Rattus norvegicus: one gene and its partner. The protein of the gene in region 1 interacts with the protein of each later gene in a pairwise test. Links are inferred from orthologs where the notes say so. Each region holds a gene or a part of one and is shown on either strand. Other genes may lie near its edges.

Evidence for each region. The genes of interacting proteins can lie anywhere in the genome.
Region 2: the proteins of Fez2 (region 1) and Scoc interact in binary tests that used the Homo sapiens proteins (3 or more experiments, as listed by UniProt). The link is inferred for Rattus norvegicus from reciprocal best matches to the Homo sapiens genes FEZ2 and SCOC.

Annotation. Positions count from the first base shown.
Region 1 is NC_086024.1:22,420,289-22,423,802, forward strand, and holds part of Fez2 (fasciculation and elongation protein zeta-2), read left to right. Parts: intron 1-1,808; coding exon 1,809-1,950; intron 1,951-3,514. UniProt on the Homo sapiens protein: Involved in axonal outgrowth and fasciculation.
Region 2 is NC_086037.1:41,586,426-41,590,460, forward strand, and holds the start of Scoc (short coiled-coil protein), read left to right. Parts: upstream 1-1,221; 5' UTR 1,222-1,318; intron 1,319-4,035. UniProt on the Homo sapiens protein: Positive regulator of amino acid starvation-induced autophagy.

The sequences.
Region 1 (3,514 bases):
GTGAGTTGGAATATTGAGTTGGTATTTTTTGTTTGTTTTGAGGCGAGGACTCCTTCTATACCCTGACTGGCCTGGAAGTCCCTTTGCAGACTAAGGTGTTCTTGAGCTATAGAGACCCACCTGCCTCTGCCTCCTGAGTGCTTAAATCAAAGGCTTGAGCTGTCATGCTTGGTCCCACCAGGCTTGCTTTGGTAGAGCCCTTGGTAAGAATTTTAACAAATAAGAGAAGTGTCTGTTCTCTTCTGTGGAAAGAAGCCAACATTATACCTGTGGGTGCTGCAGTAATATCAGCCTTATACCTGTGGGTGCTGTAGTAATATCAGCCTTATACCTGTGGGGTGCTGCAGTAATATCAGCCTTATACCTGTGGGGTGCTGCAGTAATATCAGCCTTATACCTGTGGGGTGCTGCAGTAATATCAGCCTTATACCTGTGGGGTGCTGCAGTAATATCAGCCTTATACCTGTGGGGTGCTGTAGTAATATCAGCCTTATACCTGTGGGGTGCTGCAGTAATATCAGCCTTATCTTCGCTTGAGATCAGTTGAGTCAGCTCTGTCTTTGTCTGAGTACTCCTCCCGCCTCTGCCCTGCTGTCAGAGTGAGCCCACAGTGGCTCTGTGGGCTGCAGGCTGTGCATTCTGTCACCTTTTATTTTTAGTCAGGGAAGGGAAGGTCAGTAAGGAGATATGTTATGGGAAGGTCAGAGGAGTACGTGTACACGGGAGGAATGTCCTTCTGATTCCCTGATTACGTTTGTGGTTGGATTGTTCTAGGCTTAGACAACTGTGGTGCTAACAAGAAAGGTAATGCTATCTATGGAAGGCATGACAGTTCAGAAAGAGCTGTGTGTGACCCTGAGCAGTCTCGGTCCCCAAGAAATCTGCCGGGTGCCACGTCCTTTCTGTTTTTAAGACTCACAGAATCTCGTGCTCTAGCCCCCTGGAACGCCTCACGTACTGTCCACGGCTCTGTATGGGCACCGGCCCTCTTGGGGTGGCTTTTACCCAGCTGAAGAGCTCCGATACATTCACTAATGCCTAGGTGCTTTCAGATGCACTCGCGGTGTTCTGTGTCACCACTGAATTGTATTTTACAGTGTTCGTTAATGTTTAAATGTCTTTCCAGCCCCCCTTTAAGTAGTGAGTAGCTTTCTCTTCTAGGGTCTACTTCCTTTTTCTCTCTCAGAATCTGGAATCAGACAAGGCACTGCTGTGCAGCTTGGGTCATACCCAGTATGACAGTAGGTCATGGTGTAATTAAAGCCAGGTGTGTGCCTGGAGTCGCCCTTCTTCTCGAAGCTTTTTCCTGTCTGATTCTGGTTTGGGTAATTTAAAAAATACCCCTTTGTCCTTCACTGAGTTAATAAATGAAATTCTTTGGCAGTTAGAGAGCTAACTTCCTGCTTTATCTGTGATTATTTCTATGTATATTTGTAAGTTTTATGTCAAAGTTTTGGTTACTGTAGATTATATTGGTGTTGAGCACACTTGTGAGGTGTAGAGAACATTTCCCCATTTTACCATCTTTCAGCCGTCACTGTGATCCGTGTCTCGGTAACTCATGGCACATTAGACATCAAGATGTACTAGTGTCTGCTGAATCGCAGCAGACACACCAGATCATATTCTATTTAATTCTGTGTTCATATATTGTAGATTCCATAAGCTGTGTTCACTTTTACATGTGCGTCCTGCACATAGTAGGCACTTAATGTCCCTCTACCTGGGTAGTCCAGTAAGCACTGTGGCACAGTCAGGTCTTTTCTCCATGAATTTATTTGATTAACGCATTATACATGTTTTGGAAGGTTATTGAAGAAATTGAAGAAATGATGCAGGAGTCACCAGACCTAGAAGACGATGAGACCCCCACACAGTCAGACCGGCTCTCCATGCTCTCCCAGGAGATTCAGACTCTCAAGAGCTCTAGCATGAGCAGCTGTGAAGAGCGTAAGAGACCCTCCCTCCATCAGTCTCCGTGCCTTCTGTCTACATCCAACACAGAATGTCACCATCTTCAGAGAGCTTTGATTTTCTCAGGTCCTCTGGCCATATAATTCCCTGCACATACTTTCGCCATTGTTCAGGACTCTGTTGTACTTTCTTCAAGCCTGGGATTAGTTTGCTTTTGGGAGAATTTTATGCAGACTGGGTCGCTTCAACAACCTGAGTTTATTTCCTGGTTGTTCTGATAAGTCTCAGGTCCAAGGTTAAGGGTTTGCTCCTCCCAAGGCCTCCTCCTGGTCTGTAGGTGGCCATCCTTTCCCCGGGCTTCCTTCCGTACATACCAGTGTCCCACGCTTCTTCATCTTCCTGTAAGACACTGGTCACATTAGATTGAGGACCAGCCTCGTACCTCATTTTCACTTAGTTGTCTCTGTAAATATTTCAAGCCCTGGTGTATTCCACAGTACTGCGGGTTAAGACTTCAGCATGTAGTTTTGGGAGAGAAAGTTAGATCATAAAAAGCAAGATAGTAATCTATTTATTGAAAGGAATTCCTAAGTTTACAAACAGTTGCCTTTGATGTAGCTTTGAAGAATTTTGGGAAGTGAGATTTTCTTAGAGTTGGATCTGTGTCTGTATATGACCACACTGGACTGTAAATACCATGTGGTTGGTTGTCCTGAAGAGGTTCTGAATAGCCATCCCCAGCACGGATTGCCCTGAGACTGGCTCTGGTGCTGGCGTTGATGCATCCTGATTATCGCCTAGTTCCCTGCTGGGTAAGATCCTCTTAGGATCTGGGTTTGTATCTGTGGCCTGCCCAGAAGTCTGAGGCTGGGCCGCCTTAATCCCTTTGTGTTATGTGGTTTCTTTTTAACCTTTGAAAGGTTCTCTGACACACTACATTTTCCCCCTCTGATGTGATTTGGCCATAGCTCTGTAGATAAACCCTTAGCATTGCTGGGGTACTAAATCCAAAATCCAGTCTTGATATGATAAGATATAGGAAGTATGTATTAGTTAGCATTCTGAGAAAGTTCCTCAGACTGTGCAGCTTAGACAGTGGAATTTACCTTCTCAGAGCTTTGTAGGACAGGTGTTAAAATCCAGCTCCTTGGCTTGTAGCTGGGGACAACTGTGCTCTCCTTGGGTTTTCAGGAAGTCATCTTTGTCCTCCCTCTTCCTTCTGTAAAGATAGCAGTTACATCGTGTTAAAGTCCACAGAATAAACTCATTTTCACTTTATGGCCTTTCTCAATCCTTCCCTCCAGCTCACCCAGTCCCATTTCGAGGTGCAGACATTAGGGCTTCAGCAGTGGCCTCCTGGCTCCCTGCTTTGCAGTGTGAGGGAGGAACTGAAGTGACCTCCATGGACTGCCCCTCCTCTCATCCTCCCGGTTTTCAGCCAGATTCATGAGAGGAGGCGGCATATAGTACTGAACAAGCATTTCGTTTGATCCTGTCAGAACTGCTCTTTTCCCAGAACCCTGCCTGGTTGCTTGTCAGTTTGTGTCCCTTCCCTCTGCTTCTGTGTTTGTTCTTTTCCTCAGACTAGCTTCATTTCAGT
Region 2 (4,035 bases), on another chromosome or scaffold:
TTCGCATTTGAAAAGAAAGTGTGTTCTTCACTACTTTGGAAAATGCCGTAGTTTTTTGACTATTGCCCCTATTCATTCTCTCTGTTACTTTGTTGGCACTCCTCTTAGAGTTACCTGGGATTTCCCTCTCTTCTTGTATTCATTGTATTCTTCCCTCAAACCCGAGTAGTAGTGTGAGCCAAATATATTCGTCTCAAACACCAAATGGAAGATACTTTATTTATAAAGGATTACGGTGACGGTTAGCAAGTCCTACTAAGTGGGGGAAGAGACACCTGGGAGCTGTAGAAATGGCTCAGCAGTTAACAGCACTTACTGCTCTTGCACGGGAAGCTATGTTGGGGGTCTTAGCATCCTTATCAGGTGGTTCACAACCCTCTGTAACCCCAATTCCAGAGATCTGATTCCCTCTTCTAGCATCTTCAGGCACCTTGCACACGCGTGCACACACGCCGCCACATATTCATGCAATTAAAAATAAAATCTTATATAAAAAAGAAAAGCCAGGAAGAAAGTATTTGTAAGCTCGCCTCTGCAGCTCAGAAAGTGGGAATATACTGTGCTTTGCAGGTGGGGATATACTGTGGTCACTGACCACTAACAGCAAGATACTTTTGTTTCAAAGGTTAGGTTATAATAAAGTGTCGCGAAAACTATCTGGCAACCCATTGTACATGTACACTTGAGTAAGAAACACAATTTTAATTAAGCCTTGGTTTTTCTGCGCCTGAGATCAGGCGACTGTTGCTCTAAGGGATCATGAAGTGGTCGGGTGAACGGTAAGTTAAAAAAATTGTCTAGAATATGGGGTACGGAGAGGAACATCCATTAGTGGTATACACTTTGTGCGTTTTCTAATCTTAGAAATAGGGATGGTGGGCTTTTAGTATTGAGGGACAGCCGATGACACTGCTCTGCTCACTCCGTTCTTAAAGGTGAAGTGACTTCCAACCTCACTTTCCAGGATCCCGGCGAGACAAAAGATCTGCAGCGAGAGCCTCTTTCTTTGGCGCGTCTTCTCTTCTGCGTCGTGATTGGTTGCTGCCTTTTTAGGACACGCCCAACACGCCTGATTGGGCGTCAATGCCCTTTTGTTAGGGCAAAGGTGGACCCCGGTGCTCTGCCAAGGGCTAGTCGCGGCGTCCAGCAGCAAGTGCGCAGGCGTGCAATCTCGAGTAAGGATTGGTGGGAGTCCGCCTCCTCGCTCGGCGCACGCTCCGTGGGCGGGAAGGGCGGGGCTGATGCTGTCAGTTGGTCGGAGAGCCGCGGCCTGAGGCGTCCTACCTATCCCGCCTTTTCCCGGCGCCTCAAACGCAAGGTGAGGCGACCCAGGCCGGCGAGGGCTCCGGCCGGGAGACCTCCGAGTCCCTGAGGGGCGGGGCGGGATGGAACGGGTCCCGGGCGGCTGACTGGATCGCGGGGCCGCGAGGCCCGACGCCCCGCCGAGCGCTGCGCAGCCGCCTTCCCGGCCACACGCCCTGGGCTCCGTGGGAAGAGCCTGACGTTGCCGAACAGGGACGGCGTCGGGGCGCGATGGGACCTGGTGGTGGGAGTCGACGCTCTGCAGTCTGAGCTACCTTCCAGCTCGCCGCAATCCTCCTGCTTCAGCCTCTGGAGTGCTAGGATTGGTTTACAGGCGTGGTGGCCTATGCCTGTCTGGGGTGGGACGTCTTTGCTAGAACCTGGGTTTGTTTCTTTGTCAGCTTTTCTCAAGCGTCCTGCGGAACAAATATTGAAGAGTAAGGTTTTGGAAGGAGGAATCATAGGTTCTGGAAAACCAAGATTTCTGTTACACCATCAGAGACTGGTGTCGTAATAGCCGTAAGGACAGAGATCCCCAAACCGTTATTCATTTTTGAGACTCAAAGCTGTGCGTAGGAATCCTAGTTTCTCTGTGCTCCAGTGATTAAACTTAAGTTTGAAATCTTTATTGACGATGTAGTTCGTCAATCGATTTCCATCGGTTTTGAAACCTCCAAAATGTCAAAGGAGAACATGAACGGATAGAAACAGATCACAATGGAGTGGATGCAGCTCGAAGCAGATAAAATTTTATATTTGTTTACTTTGTGGAAACGCCACGGGAGTCGAGTTTTTCCAACTCAGGTTAGGACCGTAATTATATTTTTGGTTGTGAGCCTAGCCTTTAACGGCTGAGCCATCTCTCCAGCCCAGGACCGTAATTATGTCTTGGGTATGAAACATGAGACAAGGCCTCTGTCTGGCCTTTATAAGGCCTAATTAGTACCACATCTGTGAATTGCATTTTCTTTCTGTTTCGGTAAAACTGTGTCTGTAAAGTGTTTAGTGCATGACTAGTGCATTGGACTTTCCATTTTTAAAAACTGTTTCTGATGAGTGGGTGACAGGTGGAAAACATCAGTTGCAGGTTCAGAGATGTCTGGTGGTTGAGTTTGGATGGATATTAGGGAAATGTCAAACTCATTTCTGAGAGTTTAAGGCAAGCCTAGGTGCCATGATGAGAAAGACAGACTAGATATTGACTGTACCCTTGACTCTGGATGCATACTGTGCTGTGAATTAAGCTGCTTTCAGATTAGGCCTGAGTTCTAATATGAGGCCTTCAGCCACATGGGTTTTTTAAAAGTTTCTTCTGTGGTCCAAACAAGTGAGTGGTGATGAAAAGGTCCATTAACATCTGTTGAATACTTACTAAGTACGCAAACACATAATTGAATGTATTAAATTCTCAGAACAAACCCGTGAAATGCAGTTAATAGTTCCATTTTGTGGATGAGGATACTGAGGCTGAGACTTTTAAACGTGACCAAATTTCAGAGCCTTAATGGAGAGTGAGGATTTTTAAATCACTGTGAGTCTTCTGAAGGAGTCTTAGAAGGTACAGTGTGAACATGTGAGGGTAATTTAGATTAAACCTGGACTAGCATTTGTCATATCCCTGAAGCCTTACTATCTCTTCTACCCTTTCTGCATTCTGGATTTAAGTTATAAAAGGTTCTCATTCACTAACAAGCTAGATACACACAGGCAGTGAGACTTCTTGTGATTTTCAAAGAAAAGTCTTTTAAAGCGCTGACATAGAGATCTCAGAGAATAATGCCTCTTTCAGAGCCAGGGTGGCTGGTAAGTTACAAAATAATTGTGTAAGGTTGTGTGAGCACACGTGTGCTGCATTTAGTGAACCCACAAATTACAGGCTTGGCAGTGCGCATGTGTTTGGGAGATGGAGGTAAGACCTCTGGAGCTTGCTCACAAACACTGATTGAACCGGTGAATTCCAGGTTCAAGGTCTTAAACATAAAACAAAACAGTGGAGAAGGATTGAGAGAGCCAAGGTTGACTTATGGCCTCTACATGTGCACAAAGACATGCACATAAATATAAATATAAATATGCACATAAAACAACTTTGTTAATTAAAAGTTGAACGTTGTTTAAATGGAGAGGAATACTACTTTCAAAAAATGACCCTGCATTGTTTCATTTGGTTGACTAGACGAATTCTTCAAGTGTGATTTTTAAATACTATAATAGTTTGAATAACCTTAAAAATAGAATTTTGAAAAAAACTTAGTAATTTACTTTATTTGAAGGGCAGAGACTCTGTAAACTGAGGTAGAAAGCGGGAGAAAGTAGGCTTCTGTGCACTCAGGAGCAGGCTTAGCCTTATAGTTGTTCAGTATGCTCAGTACCTTTCAGACTGAGCTGCCACTTTCATATTTGTACCCTGGCTGTTCTGCCTCTGAAAGGTTTCTCTGTGTACCTTTGCTCTTCTTTGTGACTGTCCTTAGTAAAAAGATTCACAATGTTTCTGAATCTTTAAAAGTAGTATCGTATTTTCCCAAGATTGCAGTTAAGGTGTTTCCTGTTTTGAGTATTTATATTTCCATCTCCCTTTGCTAGCACATGCCACATGATATAATCCCGTGTGCAGCATTTAGCTTCAGGTACTTGATTACTGAGCAGCTCAGCACCATCTTTCCTTATGTGGTTCTGTAAGCTATGCTGCTGTGTCCTTTGCTGAACTTCGTGTGCACACTTAGTACTTCAGAG